2 linked regions of the Rhinolophus ferrumequinum genome follow. The protein of the gene in region 1 interacts with the protein of each later gene in a pairwise test. Links are inferred from orthologs where the notes say so. Each region holds a gene or a part of one and is shown in the gene's direction. Other genes may lie near its edges.

Evidence for each region.
Region 2: the proteins of PDCD4 (region 1) and EIF4A2 interact in binary tests that used the Homo sapiens proteins (3 or more experiments, as listed by UniProt). The two-hybrid records come from large-scale screens. The link is inferred for Rhinolophus ferrumequinum from reciprocal best matches to the Homo sapiens genes PDCD4 and EIF4A2.

The regions. Positions count from the first base shown.
Region 1 is NC_046299.1:16,476,388-16,484,165, reverse strand, and holds the start of PDCD4 (programmed cell death protein 4), read left to right. Parts: upstream 1-4,688; 5' UTR 4,689-4,839; intron 4,840-5,657; exon of another isoform or gene 5,658-5,677; intron 5,678-7,778. UniProt on the Homo sapiens protein: Inhibits translation initiation and cap-dependent translation. May excert its function by hindering the interaction between EIF4A1 and EIF4G. Inhibits the helicase activity of EIF4A. Modulates the activation of JUN kinase.
Region 2 is NC_046285.1:58,773,755-58,781,777, reverse strand, and holds the start of EIF4A2 (eukaryotic initiation factor 4A-II), read left to right. Parts: upstream 1-4,929; 5' UTR 4,930-4,956; coding exon 4,957-4,985; intron 4,986-5,797; coding exon 5,798-5,855; intron 5,856-5,938; coding exon 5,939-6,071; intron 6,072-6,175; exon of another isoform or gene 6,176-6,244; intron 6,245-6,345; coding exon 6,346-6,485; intron 6,486-7,231; coding exon 7,232-7,400; intron 7,401-7,505; coding exon 7,506-7,615; intron 7,616-7,653; exon of another isoform or gene 7,654-7,780; intron 7,781-7,840; coding exon 7,841-7,984; intron 7,985-8,023. UniProt on the Homo sapiens protein: ATP-dependent RNA helicase which is a subunit of the eIF4F complex involved in cap recognition and is required for mRNA binding to ribosome.

The DNA.
Region 1 (7,778 bases):
AACAGCAGCACACTGAGAACTCATTTACATTTTGGCTCTGCTACCAACCAGCTGTGTGGCTTTGGGCGACTCTGGGTCTCTGATTCTCCATTTGTAAAATGAAGGGTTTGGACTAGTGATTCCCACATTTCCTTTTATCATAAAAGTCCCTTGATTACCAGTGACGTACTTTAGCCTCATTTGCCTCCTCTTTAAAGCAGAGAGAGTAATATCTGCTTTTCTACTTCATAGGGAGGGGGCGAACGTGCTCAATAAGCCTTAAAACACAACACAAATGTTAGCTAGCATCATTATCATCATTAGACTTCTTTATTCAGTTCTCTTTCTTCAGAGCAAGTTTCATGTCTTTTACCATTTGTGTAAGGAGTCATTCAGTGCCTTACAGGAACTCCTAAAAATTCAGTCCTTGGTCTGAGGAAACAGGATGTCAGCTCAGGTAAATGAAGTTGTTGTAAATGACAGTAGCATTTGAAAGTTCTTTGGAAGGAAGTGGGCTAAGACCTCTCTCAGTCCTCAAACGGAGATGGCCTCTTCTGGCCTCAGTGCTTAGTACAGAACTCGGGTTCTCAAATGCGGCTTTGCCTAAACAACGAAAAGGCCTTGGAGAGTTCCAAGGACAATAGTAATTTGAGGTGCTTATCTTTTGCCTAGCATCTGTGCATTTCCAAGTAATTTACCCACATTGACTCATTAGCACTCCCAACCCTACATCAACTTTCTTTGCTTTCACCTTTGGGTTGAAGGGATGTGATATTCTCTGAGCTTTGAATTCAGAGAAAGCCCTTGAGTTGAGAGTGACAGCCCTTCTGCCCACACTTGGTGGAATTCTCCTCTGCCACTGGTGGCAAACCCTCTCTTGTCCCACACTACCACCACTCTGGTAGTGCCATGTCAGTGCCTTGCCTACCATCACATGGTGTCAGAACTCGATTGGCTCCTTAAGGACTACCTGCCGTGGCTAACTCCTTCTTTCACAGTGCAAGAAATTGAAGCATTCAGTTGACCCAGAGAGGGGAAGTGAAATGCCCAAAGCAACACAGTTAGTTAGGGACATAATAACTTAAGAGGCAACAACTAGAAACTATCCTCCATCTTCACCCATATACACCCTAACAAACCAAACATTCTTTTCTTTGTATTCCTCTGGGCATCTCAATAGTGCTTAATCCTGAGAGGTATGGGGTGCAGGGAAGACATTATGCATGTCTGTCACACAGCATGCAGTTTCCATTGCCACCTCTGAAGAGCTATCTCATCCTGGACAACACTAGTGTCCCTTCTTCTCCTAAACTGGAATGGGTCATTCTTTTTTTTTTTTAAACTTTTATTTGTGAGTGTGTTTTTCTAGGAACCATCAGCTCCAAGTCAAGTAGTTGTTTCAATCTAGTTGTGGAGGGCGTAGCTCACACTGGCCCATGTGGGGATTGAAATGGCAACCCTGGTGTTACGAGCATCGCGCTCTAACCAACTGAGCTAACCTGCCGCCCCTGGAATGGGTTATTCTTAAGGGAAATGGAAATTGTAATTCCATCATTCTGGGTAGAATGAGTTAAGGCAGGGGTGTCCAAACTGTGGCCCGCGGGCCAACTGCGGTCCGCAATACATTTTTTATTGGCCCGCAGCAAATTCCAAAAATATATTTAGTTTACTTAAATAAACCAGGTGAGGCAATACGTACTTCACCTCGAGTGAGTGGCCCGGCTGTTTGTGTATTTTACTGCATATGGCCCTTGGTAAAAAACGTTGAAAAAAGTTTGGACACCCCTCAGTTAAGGAGAAGGGCTCTCTCCTTTTCTCTCACCCAGCAGCTAAATTAATATAAGCCCATAGGCACAGGGCTTCAGGAAATAGAAAATCAATTTGTGAGCAATTATAATGTGAAATGAAAATGTACGTTGTGGCTCAGAAGCCTGGGCAGACATTACCTACCATAAGGTAGAATATAATGATACCTTTGGCCAAAAACAAAGCTTAATCAGCTCTGTACTTTTCCCAGAACAGGCATACAATAAATATTTGGAAATTGATTTGGTGGGCAAACATTCTTCTCACTTGGATACTTTTCCATTTGCAAGCTTATTTTTTAAAAAATTTTTTATTCTATTTTAGTGTTTAGGAAAGGGGCAGGTGGCCAGTGTTCAATACAGCTGGAAGGAATGTTAGTGATAGTGGCTGTCATCTATATTTTCCAAACTAATTTCTAAGTAACATTGATTCTGCGTATCTTGGAAAAAAAGGGGGGTTCTGTATAAATAAGTTGGGGAAACGCTACTTAGCTTCCTACTCTGGTTCCAGAAGATTCTTAAGGCACATTAGCTTATTAAAGAAACTGAGAAGAGTTGGGGGAAAAGCAGTTTTAACTTTGTTAAAACAATTTCCAAGTCGATTTGATTATGGAACAGTCTCTCCCCATTTTTCTTATGATATCCGTTAAAGTTCAACAAAATTCACGTTCTTTAGAAAATACCTTGGGAATTACTAATTGAACCCAATTTCTGAATTTTACTGGTGAAAAAAACAGAGGTCCTGAGAGGGGCTGAACTTCTTACAGGTAATTAGTGGGGGAGCTAGGACTAGAATCCCATTTCCTGACTGCCTGGTCAACTACACCCAACTAGAGGGGCATTCCCTAAGGTGGGTTCTGGGATGCCAGTCATCATGTGTAGTCCTCGAGAAAATGGTTAAAAAGGATATGAACATTTTACTCCACAGTGAGTCCTTTTGGGGCAATTTGGTAAAAGATAGAGGTTGTTTCAGGTGCTTTAAAAATGGGTAATTGTATCCTACTCTTTTGTTATTGCACAGATCTTAGGGTGCCTGCCCATTGCAGCCTGGATATTCCATAGGTGCTTAATAAATGAGTAAATGAAAGAACCTAGCAGGGGTCAGAGGAGGTTGGAGGCTGGGAGGAAAAAGGAAAGGGTCAGCAACTGAGAAGGAGTGTGAAAAGGAAAAAAGTGGAAAAAGAGAGGGGTGGATGAAAAAAAAGGAACCAGTAGTCACTGATCAGCAGAGAATAGTTGAGCCCTGGCAGAGAAAGGGAAGGAGATAGCAGCTGCAGGTGATTGAAAAACAAAACTGAGTGACCAGGAAACTTTGCTTTCAGAAAGTAAGAGTGACTCATGAGGCTAATTCAGATGCTGACCATGCCAGGAGTCACCTGCCCGGAGATGGGGATGAGCACCAACTGCTGAGAACCACTGTGAACTCAGCTCAAGCTGTACTTCCTTCACGGGTATAATACATGTGCAAGGCGTCTTCTTAAGCACTACAACAATAACAGATGAGTAAGACCCAGGTCTTGCCGTCAACAAGGTGACAGTCTAACAGAGAGAAGAGCTAGGACGGGGACTCAGATAACATAATGCCAAGTAGAATGTAATCAGTGCCCCCCGAGGTACAACGAGGCAATACTGTGAGGATTCAGGAGACAGGAAGATCACATCAAATCACCAGGCTAAAAAGGCCTAGGTGGAGAGCCATGAGGCATGGAGAGGATTGGATCAGGCGATGATGGGAGATAGGAGGAGAGACATTTCAAGGTGATATAATAAAGAACCATCAAGAGGTGGGGAAGCATATGGTACAGTGAGTGGTCCAAGTGGGTTCCAGCCAAGGGTGCGTGGGGGCTGGGAGGGGTGTGGATAGACGTGGCCTGGAGGTTATACTGAGGGGCCCTGAATGCTTGGCTGAGGTACTCACGCTCCAGGCAGGCAATGGGAAGCTAGTGAATTTTGTGTGTGTGTGTGTGTGTGTGTGTGTGCAGAGAAATAATATTAGAGATGATTCCCAGGAAGGTTGACTGGGCAGAAGCTCGCCTGGTCCAGGGGGAAGGCAGTTTGGTTCTGGAGAGACCAACAGACTATTCAGGTGTTGCATATCAGATGACTGTTAAATATTGATCGAGTCTTCTTAAAGCACAGAGACAGCAGAAGGTTCTGGTCATTACCTCAGGGGATAGGGAACTAGGAAGAATGAGAGGAAAATACTAGCTAAGGAGAACACAGCCATGAGGAAAAGACAGAACGGCCACGGGAGGCAGAAATTTCCATAAGGAAATTATAGTCATGGTTGAGAAACCCAGCCTTGGAGTCAGGTGTGTGTGAATTTGAAGCCCTGTGGCCTGATTAGTTATGATTGGTAAAGGGACTTCAAAGAGTTTTTGAGTGTTTCCTCATCTATGAAATGGGAGTGATTTCCGTCTCAAACGGTTGACAGCATTTGCTGAGATAGTCCCTAACATGGAGTTTGCACACTGTAGGAACCAAGAAGTGATCAGGAGCCAGCTAGAGAAGGAATTGTCAAGATTAAGCGTATTCCCGACGAGTGTCCCGATTTGGAGGCAGGGAACCTCAGGAAGCCCAAAGCCTTTACTTTACTTTAGCAGAGTTTGCTGACTGCCGTGTGAAGGGAATAGGTGAGCATGTCAAGGGAGTCTCAGCCTAGTTTCCACCCCCAGGAACTGCCCTTTCGCCCACGCTTCCATCCCACCGCGCCTCCCCGGCTCCCCCTACTCGGGCTGCCGGCCCAGCTCCCACTCCCGCGAATCCGGGGAGCCAGATGCGCATGCGCCTTCCTGCGCCCCTGCCCAGCTGTCCACGTTTCACTTCCCTCCCTTTTCCTCCGCAGCTCCCGCTCTACCTCCACGATTGGCCAGCCGACCTCCTCTCCTCGGCCAATAAACGCCGACCTCTCGCCCCCGTGTTACTGGGTAGAACAAAACAAAAACAAACAGAGCGAGAGGGGCAGAGACTCTCAGAGGCGGCGTAGAGGCTGAGGACTGGGGTTAGGCCGGTGGACCAGGGACTTGGGCGAACGGCGGCGGCGGCGGTCCGAGGGGTCAGTACCTGCGGCGCGGCTCGCACGCTGGGGAGGACTGCGCCCTCTCCCCAAGCCCCGGTCTCTCCTCGGAGCCAGACGCACGTTGGGGGGGGGAGGGGGCGTGGAGGCCGTGGCCCCGGCTGGCCAGGTCCAGGTCCGCGGGCGGGGGTCCGGCCCCCTCCTTCGAGCCCCGCAGGCCCAGCCGCGTCGGCCCCAACGCCCCGGGCTACGGAGAACCGGCCCCGGTTCCCTCCTTCTAGGCTCGGGCCCGGAGCGCGGCGGCGCGGGCCCGCCTCCGCCCGGACCCCCTCCCCGCTTAGCCGGGCGCGCGGGGCGCCCCTCGGCGAGGGTCTCCTCCTCGTCCCCGCGAAGGCCAAGGTTTCATTTTTATTTGGGGTGGGGGACGTCGGGAGGCGCGTTTCTGGCCTGACTGAAATCTTGCGAGGAAGGTTTGCGCCCGCCCCGCCCCCCTGGCTTCCTTGGGGGCCCACTGAAGAGGCGCCCCCCGGCCGGGCCTGCCCAGACCCAGACCCAGGCCCTGCGCCTGCCGGTGTCCTGGAGCCCAGGCCCGGCCCAACACCCCCCGAGGGCCGGTCGGGCCTGCGTCGGCGGCGGGGAAGCGGGCCCGGCCGCTACGGATGGGGCCGCGCGCGCTCCGGCGGGCGCTGCGAGGCGGACACGTGCCCGCCGCTCGGCCCTGCGCTAACTTCGCCGCGCCCCTCCTCCGGCAAAGGATTGTCTTTTTCTAGTTTAAATGAAATCTCCCCGAGAAAACAAAGACAGGAAGGGAGCCCCCTTTCTGTGAGATGCATGCTGTGTCTGCTGCATTTGTCAATTTGGTGCTGCAGTGTACACAGTGAGGGTTTTTAATTTCTTTTTACAAGAGCTTCAGAAGGGTCTGCGGCGTCAGTATCGCCGGTCTCCGGGTGTCCTTGAGACAACTGGCTACAGAGCCAGCAACGGTGTACTATCTACAATAGATGATTAAAACGATTAAAAATGCAGCTTCGTTTGTGGGGTGGGGGAACCCCTGCCTGTTGTTACTTGTGTTTTCACTGTTGAGTTGTAGTTATTTTGGCTTTCTTGCGAATGTAAGGCTTTTTAGGAAACCACCGTATACTTTTTTTTTAAAAAAGGAACCACTGCAGATACGTTCTAAATGTAATTATTGGTATTTATGTCCTTAACTTTCCCTCATTATAAGTTTATTAAATTCCTTAATATTTCAGCAGGCATCTTTGAATTATATTTTGATTTTTTTTTCTGTTGTAGTAATAAGAAAAATAGTTGCTAGGAGTGCATTAAATAAATGACACTGATATTTTCTGTAGTGCTCAATTTTGAATCATTGTGGTTAAATAATTTCAGTTGATTTTAAGTTGCTAATTAACTGTGATTGTAACCCTGGATGAATACAAATAATTTTCTAGTTAACATGGGGACTAACCTTGACTCCAAAAATTGTCAGAGCGTTTATCAGGTATATTTCAGGAAATAGATTTTTGGGGGGTTGGGGGAGGATGAGGCTTTTTAAGGGAATGGTGTGGCTGTTGAATACTTCTGATTGAATGTTTCTGTGAAACTTTTGAGAAATGAGAACAATGTTTAATTTCAGCCTTAATTTTGTCTAACTTATGTATAGTTTTGTTTTCTTATTGCAAATTAATTTTGTCGTTTAGTATGAAGGATGTGGAATTTAGATTTTTTTGCTTTACATTTTCTGAAGTTTGGGGCAAAAATTTTAAGGGTTGTTAAGTAAACTAGATAAAAACCCCCCTACTTTGAAGCAAGTTAAAATATGGAACATACCTTTATCATTATCTAAACTCTTAAAACTTCTGTGATGCTCTCAAGTGTAACTGAGTTCTTGATTGCGTTATCATTGCCTGAAGACACAGATGGCTATTTTATGATTACTTAATAAAAACAAACTTGGTGAGTTATAGGTAATAGTCATTACCTGGTCATTTTCTTCGCCCAACTGAATGCCTTCTGTATAATAGTTTAAAATAAATGTTATTTTTAATGTTTGGGAAGCAGTATATAAAAATTTTATATAAACAGTAGGAGTCTTATGTTTTCATAAGCTTTTCTCTGTTAACCTTAAAAAGAATCTTCCTGTGGGATACTAAAATCTTGTATTGAACTTGTGCAAACAGACCTGGATCTAGAAGGTCTAGGTTTTTAATTCTGGTTTTTCCACTGAGCAGCTGAGTCTCTGGACAGATCACCTACCTTCTCTGAATCTGTTTTGTGTGCACGGTGGGGTACCTAGCTCAAGATTGTTCTGAGAGGTACATGAAATAATGCATGTAAAATTCATTTTGAATTATAAAGGGCTTTGTAAACCAGTTATAATCACTTCATTTCCTTTATTAGCTAGGTTCTGCAGAAGTATTTTCTCAAAAGATTATACTTGCATCAAGTATGAACTTTTTAATGTAACTGTAGTGTAAAAAACTCATACACACATTATATAACCTTTTCACTTCACTGTAATTGAAATGAAATAGATAGGGCATTTTCAGCCATGGAGGACTCTCAATGTTGAGGTTTGCCAACTATTTGTTCATATACCTAGGTGCATATGTTTCTAAGGTTATTTCCCCCCCCAAATCCAGAGTTGGTGCAAATTGTGACTCTATATAAATATCTTTCAATATCATATGTCTGTTTATTCTGAACAGAATTAGAGTGATGTCACCATTTTGTTAATTTCTGAAGCAGTTTGGTAGCATTTTAGTAGACCAAGGATTACCGTATTTTGCCATGTATAATGCACACTTTTTTTGCCCTAATTTGTGAGGGAAAAATAAGGATGCACGTTGTACAAGTGTAGTACTAATTCTGTATCTGTATAAATGTTTTTAAAAATTCTTTTATGCTTATAAGTTAAAAGTGTAACTCTAGAAATCAATAACAATAACTGTATGAAAATAATCGGTTTTGTTGAACTT
Region 2 (8,023 bases), on another chromosome or scaffold:
TGGGCTCCAGCTTCCCTTTCTCACGGGTCATCACCCTCATCTGGGAAAGGAGTTGTCTGAGCAACCTCTAGATCATGCTCACATTGGGCTGCCAAGGCTGAGTCCATGGCAACCTCTGGTGGGGCAAGAACAGGCATGGCAACCAACTCCAAGTTGGGGTCTCCATGAGTTTTCTAGCAAGCCAGAGGAAGGGTTTGTCAGAGTTGTAGTTACTTTTGGCAGAAAGTAACTGAAGATTCTTCTTTTGGTGGAAGATAATTGATTTTGCCTTAACTTTTCTGTCCATAATAGCTACTTTGTTGCCACATAACATGATGGGATGTTTTCACATATTCCTACCAGATCTCTATGCCAGGTAGGCACATTCTTCTAAGTAACTCTCAAAGTTACATCAAACACTTTAATGGCACACTGGGCTTGGATGTAGTAGACATCTTTCCATCCACCAAATTTCTCCTGACCAGCTGTATCCCATACATTAAACTTAATAGGTCCTCTGTTGGTATAGACACACGGATATGAACCTCAAGACCCAAGGTAGCTACATACTTCTCAAATTCACCAGTCAGATGATGTTTCACAAATGTAATTTTCCTAGTCCCATTATCACCAACCAATACAAATTTGAACTGAACTTGGGGTTCTTCTTGGGTAGGCATTATCTCTGGGCCTCTCTGACTAAGAGCTGGAAAGATTGTGGAAGCACCTCTATTTTTTAATTAAACTTTTAATTTTTGAGATAATTGTAGATCACATACAGTTGTAAGATCAGACATGTACTCTTTCCCATTTCCCCCAATGGTAAGTAACATCTTAGAAAACTACAATACATCACAACCAGGATATTGACAGTGATATCGTCAAAATATGAACATTTCCCTCACCACAAGGATGTCTCTTATTCACCTTTTATAGCCACACTCACTTCTGTACTGCCCCACCCCCTCCTTAAACCCTGGCAACCACTAACCAGCTCTCCATTTCTATAATTTTGTCTTCTCAAGAATATTATATAAATGAAATCATGTAGTATGTAACCGTTTGAGATTGTTTTGTTTTTTCCCCACTCAGCATAATAGTCTAAAGATTCATCCAGGTTGTGTGTGTATCAATAAACGGATCCTTCCTTTTTATTACTTAGTATTCCATGGTATAGATATAATCACAGCTTAACCATTCACCCATTGAAAGACATGTGAATTTTTCCAGCTTTTGGCGATTGTAAATAAAGCTGCTATGTCCATTCATGCACAAATCTTTGTGTGAGCATACGTCTTCATTTCTCATATGCCCAGGAGTGAATGCCCAGGAGTGAAACTGTTACATCATATTGTAGTTGCACATTTAGTTTTTTGTTAAGAAACTGCCAAACTGATCCTAGAGTGGCTGTACCATTTTATATTCCCACTAACAATGTATGACTGATGTAGTTTCTCGGCATCCTTGCTGGAATTTGGTGTTGTCACTATTTTTTATTTTAGCCATTCCAGTAGATGTATAGTGATATCTCACTGTGGTTTTTATTTGCATTTCTCAAATGGCTCATAATGCTAAACATCTTCTCATGTGCTTATTTGTCATCTGTAAATCATCTTCAGTGAAACGTCTTTTCATGTCTTTTGCTCATGTTCTAATAGGATTGTTTGGTTTTTACGAAAGGAGAATATCTTTGTTTTTAGGATGCAGTGCTGAATTACTTTATTAGGAATAAAATGACACTACTATGTCTGTGACTTTCAGAAAGTTAAAAAAAAGTCATAGATAAATATAAGAGAGAGAGTAAATGTATTAAACCGTTAACAGTTGGTAAGTGTAACAAGTACTTGGTATCCACTGCTTTATTCTTGCAACTTTTCTTTAAGTTTAGAATTTTTCAAAGTAAAAAGCTGGCTCCACCTCAGATCAGATCTCCTGAATCTGGGTGGGAGTGCAGAGTCCACATGTATCTGCCTTTCAAATACATCTCCCCTTTGATTTTTATGCATACCAGTTATAGATGTACTGAATTGAAGTACAGTAATGTATTTTTATTTTAGTCTTTATAAGGGTAAAGCTAGAAAAACGTCTAATCATATCTTGGTTACACAATAGAGTTTAATAATCTTGAATTAATGGATTTAAACTCAGTCTTTACATAGCTCAAGTCCTTTCCATGGTCCTCTTCAATTTTCTCCATTTTCTTCAACTCTATTAAAATCTTTACCTATTTTTATGTAAATGGCTTTAAAAGTTATTGTAAAGCACATGACACTGAGTGTCACCCTCCAAATTGCTTCAGTGGACACTGCCTACATTCAAGCACAATCTAGCCTCTAATTTCCTCCAGCAACTGAAAGAGATGAGTAGTACTACTGTCTTTATCCGGCTCAAGGCAGTTCTTTTTAAACATTTAAATTATAGATGGAGGGACAGCATGTATTATACTAGGTGTTTGCTAAATAATAAATGACATTAATAAGTAATAAATGAGTTGAAGATCCAAAACACATACCTTAACAAACTTTTGCATATCAAAAGCTTATCAAGACACTGCTTTAAATGTACAGCTATCACTTCAAATCAATTGATGGACTTGAAATAATGTGAGAACCTCAAGATGGCACACAACACTCCCTGAATGATGAAAATACATGGTATTTTCTATAGAAAGATGTCACTAACAACATAAAGCATACTCTTAAAGGTTTTGTTATTGTTTTTCCATGTCATACTGACAAATTTGTACTAATTCCTTGATTCATTTGGTGACAATTGGCTTACAATTGCTAGATGGGTTTAGGACTGTCAGCTGATGATACTGAAGAGCAAATCTAAACTAGGGGGGCTCACATAAGGAAGGAATCTGATTTTTAGCATCATTTGAAATATAAATGGCCTCCAGACTCCAGGTTAGCACCAAAGCATTTGTGGTTGTCTCCGAGAAGGCTATCTAATTTCAGATCTCAGTTAAGTAGAAAAATTTATCTCAACGGTACAAGAGTATGCTCTAAATTGATTTGCAAAACTTGTGTATGTTTTAAGTCTTTAACTCATTTATTACTTAATGCTATTTAGTAAGCAAATACAAATGTGGTGAGCACACCATTCATTAGAAATACATTGTAGGGTTGCAGGCTCTGGATTTTGACTGAATTTTAAATTATGAAACTTTCTTTCCTTAAAACAACTTGAACCACTGTGACCTAAACCAGAGATTAGCCTTCGATTATTTCCTCTTAAGAGACTCTGGAAATCCTCCACAGCTTGCAATGGTAGTGCTAAACCTAAAACACTCAACCATGAGGTATTAATTGATTTCACCCTATGACTGAGTGATTTCACCCTAAAGACTTAAGTGAGACTAAATGGTTGGTCACTTTCCTGATTTAGTATTTTCTCCACTTTGTTAGATCCCAGAAGATTTTTCAGTAGGTTTTACATGAGACAATAAGGATCTCTGACTTCCTTTCCTAGAAAATGTCTGGCATTACCTCAAATCTGCATTTCAGCATTACAGGGGGATGGATAGCATCACTAGACTGACAGCCAAGTCCACTTTGTGATCATGGTATTAGTTTCTGTCACAGTTCCTGGCACGATAATAATTTTCAAATAAATAAATTAATGATTTAAAAAATACATGTGGTATTTATAACCAAATATATCAAATATGATATACAAATGTAGAAAATTAAGCGTCAGTTTTTACAGTTATCAGACTTTTGGTTGGTCTTCCGAATTAATGAGAAAATGTTTTCCTGAATATTTGTGATGATATCTTGCAGCATGTGTAGGATTGTATTTTAAAGTTAAATGACTAAATACTAAATACATTTTTTTTTTTTTTTTTTTTTACCAACAGGCCTCGGTTAGAGCTACAGTTGAAAACTTCAAGGAGCTTAAAGAATCAGGCAGTTTATTCAAGCAGCAAGGGTTGTGTTGCTCTCATCTTCAGCAAATCAATATTCATAATGTATAAGCAATTAAATTCAATTTGTTTAGTTTTTTTAATGACCAGAGTCAAAACCTATCTAGTCCCAAAGCAGCAAGGAGCTGTATCTGTCAGAAGCATCCATTTAAATTCTTGCGTTACAAGGAAAAGTAATCCTCCTTAGCTATTATATGTTTGCAAAAGTTTACAATGACTTTATCAGGTATTCCTCACACCTGTTAAAATTATTAGCATTATTTTAAAGAGCGAGAGAAGACTAGAAGCAACGTGAGAATCGAATTGTCTACTCCAGAGACATTTGCAAATGACACACGGTTTTTCTCGCCCTGCACAATACAGGGTAAACCCGGTTTTCTGGGACGTGCTAGGTGGCCGACATTTTCCCTAGCAAGAGTTTCACACTTTTACAATCGGAACGGATGTTAAACGCTCGGGCTCAAAGCCAAGCGGCTCTTTACCGTCTGACTAAATAACCTTTCCCCGCAGCTATTTAATCGGGCGGAAAAACCCGATCTCCCTCTAGAGCAGAACGTGGAGGTGCCTGCCTCTCCGCACCAAGCGCCAGCGGCGAAAAATGAGCCCGGGCCCTCCTGCCCCCGGGGACGCCCGGGCCAGCCAGAGTGCAGCGCGCCTCGGGCTTCCGCCTCCCGGTCCTGCCCGGCTCCCCGGGGCCGCCTCTGCTTCAGGGACGCGGAAACCCCGTAGGAGCAGGGAGGGAGGGGAACGCGGGTCGGCGCCGCTTGCTGCAATATTCTTCCGCCGCCAAGCAAAGAGTCCCATCCTTCTCCTACGGTCCTGGGATTCCCAGCGTCCCTGTAATATCTTGACATAACCAACTTGGATTTTCCCACCGACCTTCTGAGGACACTTTCTGAGGTAAGGACACCAGGGCCACAATTTTGTGGCTAATGAAGAACGACGAGAAAATTCCTCCGCAGAAAACGGGTTCCGGCCACGAGCCTATAAAAAACGGGTGGGGCGGTCTGACTGTCTTTTCAGTCGGGCGCTGAGTGGTTTTTCGGAACATGTCTGGTGGCTCCGCGGATTATAACAGGTACAGGGCATTTTCGTTGGTGCTGTTTTGTGGTGAAGGTCAAATGGCGCCAGAGGAAATTGTAGTAGCTGGCGTGGAGTCAGGGAACGCCGGGTTCATAGGCATTTCCTTGGGGTAAGGTACCCCTGTGTCCTTCGAGAAGCTTCCATGATGGGTAGAGCCCCTGAGCGAGGGGACACGAGATAAGGGTACGAAAATGGAGTGGTTGAAGGGTGTCTTTTTTTCCTGAAGATCCTTTTAGATCTCGGCTGCTTCCCCTGCCCGTACGGAGCCCGACACTTAGTTAAAGCCGTGGCGCAGTCCGCATTCGGTACAGTGTAACCGGGGCCCAAAGCTTTATTTGCAGCGAACCGCGCGATTGAAATGTTAGACTGAAGGTGGGGTGCGGGGAGGGTGACAGCGGCGCCCACTCGCCGCGGCCAAAAGGCGCGCTGGGACCAGACCAGCAACGGGGTCTCGGCGAGCCGTTGGCATGGCCTTCGCCAGGCCTCGGCCCGCGTCAATCACCCCGGCTTGCGCAGTGTTAGGGGCGGAGCTCAGCGCGTGGACCTCTCGCGAGACGGCCCGCCGCCGAGACGGCAGCACCTGGCGCAAGGGCTTGGGGGAAAGCCAGTGTCCGTGGGGCCTTGCCGTCCGTCCTGCGTTCTCAACCTTTGGGCAGGTGCACAGTAAATTATGTGCCCTGTGCCACCAGCTTCCATTGCTTTTTTAGTAGGAAATGCACACGTGCAGGAGGAGGGTAACCTGATAGACTGGTTGTAAAGGGCTATCCCCTCATGTGCAGTTAGGATGGCTTGTTAATCTAACTGCAGTGTTCTTTGCAGAGAACATGGCGGCCCAGAGGGAATGGACCCCGATGGTGTCATCGAGGTAAGAAATTGTGTGTGGATTTTGAAATTCTGGAAAGGTGAGTTTGTTCATACTATTTATTTTTACTTATTTTTAATTTATAGAGCAACTGGAATGAAATTGTTGATAACTTTGACGATATGAATTTAAAGGAGTCTCTTCTTCGGGGCATCTATGCTTATGGTTTTGAGAAGCCTTCAGCTATTCAGCAGAGAGCTATTATTCCTTGTATTAAAGGTAAAAGAACTCGGCAGTTTAAAAAAAATTCATTGTTTTACATAGACCTGCACCATAAAAGGGAAAATAACTTCTGGGGGTCTAGCACCTATTTGTATTCCTTAAAGTGAAATGATGGCAATCATCTTTCGGGACTGACCTGAAATGAAGAGAATACTCATTGCTGATCACTTAATTATTTGGGCATAATTCATGTTCCAAATGGAATACATGGTGTGAACTAGAATTGACTTTTTGATGTGGGATCGGTAAATATGTATCCTACTTTTTTTAGGGTATGATGTGATTGCTCAAGCTCAGTCAGGTACTGGCAAGACAGCCACATTTGCTATTTCCATCCTGCAACAGTTGGAGATTGAGTTCAAGGAGACCCAAGCACTAGTATTGGCCCCCACCAGAGAACTGGCTCAACAGGTATTGATAGTGTAGTTCAAAAAAACTGCTTGCGTGTTGCATAGGTTCAAGTTTCACAACTGAAAAATTTAAAGCTTAGTATAAATTGGTCCTATCAGAGCCCTCTTAACTGTCCGTGCATGCAGGGAGTTTTTGTTGAAAGTAAATAGGAACTGGGTGTGCAGGTATGGTTCACAGGGTTATAATGGAGAAACCAAAGCTTTCTGTTTAGGGTGGACTAGATTCCTATTTTTTTGAATGCAGTTGTGCAACATGAAAACTGCAGTGACATGTTATCACTTGACTGTCTCAGTTTGTGATGCATCTGGTGCACGATGTTTTCAAAGCTCACTGCTATCTATATTGGCTTTGAAGGAAACCTCGCTAATAAAGCTAGGCTTTGTTAAAGTCAAGATTATATGTTACTGCCCTGTGGGAAAAGTATCTTGTCTAGGTTGTAATTGCAGAGCTTGATCCCACTATTTACACCTTCCTACACAATGAAGAGTAACGAAGGAAATGTTTTTAGTTATAAATCTAGCTGGTACCTGGGGCAACAGGATCCTAAGTTTGACAAGGTACAAGAAGTATTTTAAGGGAATTTTACCTTGAAGCAGTTAGATCAGTCTGCATATTAAGCTTGGAAGTAGTTAAGTGTGTTGCATGCATAAAAGCTGTTTGCAGACCAGATATTTGCCATTATGCTTTAAAAGTTTAATCACAGCCTGTAATTCTGCTGGAAAATAATTAAGGCTCTTTGCTTTTAGATCCAAAAGGTAATCCTGGCACTTGGAGACTACATGGGAGCAACTTGTCATGCCTGCATTGGTGGAACCAATGTTAGAAATGAAATGCAAAAACTGCAGGCTGAAGCACCACATATTGTTGTTGGCACACCAGGGAGAGTGTTTGATATGTTAAACAGAAGATATCTTTGTAAGTACTGTCTATTGAGAGCGTACATTTTTTTTGCTATTATAAATAAACACAAATAGTATCCCTGAGAATCTAGAAGTGATAGTATGACTTTGTTTTTGACAGCTCCAAAATGGATCAAAATGTTTGTTTTGGATGAAGCAGATGAAATGTTGAGCCGAGGGTTTAAGGATCAAATCTATGAGATTTTCCAAAAATTAAATACAAGTATTCAGGTGAGCTTTACCTTTCACCCATATCTGGAGATTGTTTAATGCAGGTATTGTTACAATACAACTGAAGTGTTTTATTGTCGTTCCCCCTGCTTACAGCAATTGATGCAAAACTATCTCTGTCTAGCACAATTCCATAGCAAGACAGAGACGCTTGGTCTCAAACATGTTTTCTTGAATATTTTGAAAGTTGGGCTACTTGTGTGACAACATCATTGTCTTTTTAAGGTGGTGTTGCTTTCTGCTACAATGCCAACTGATGTATTGGAAGTGACCAAAAAATTCATGAGAGATCCAATTCGAATTCTGGTGAAAAAGGAAGAATTGACTCTTGAAGGAATCAAACAGTTTTACATTAACGTTGAAAGAGAGGTAATGTGTCTAATTAAACATAAAAATGTAGCCACTTTT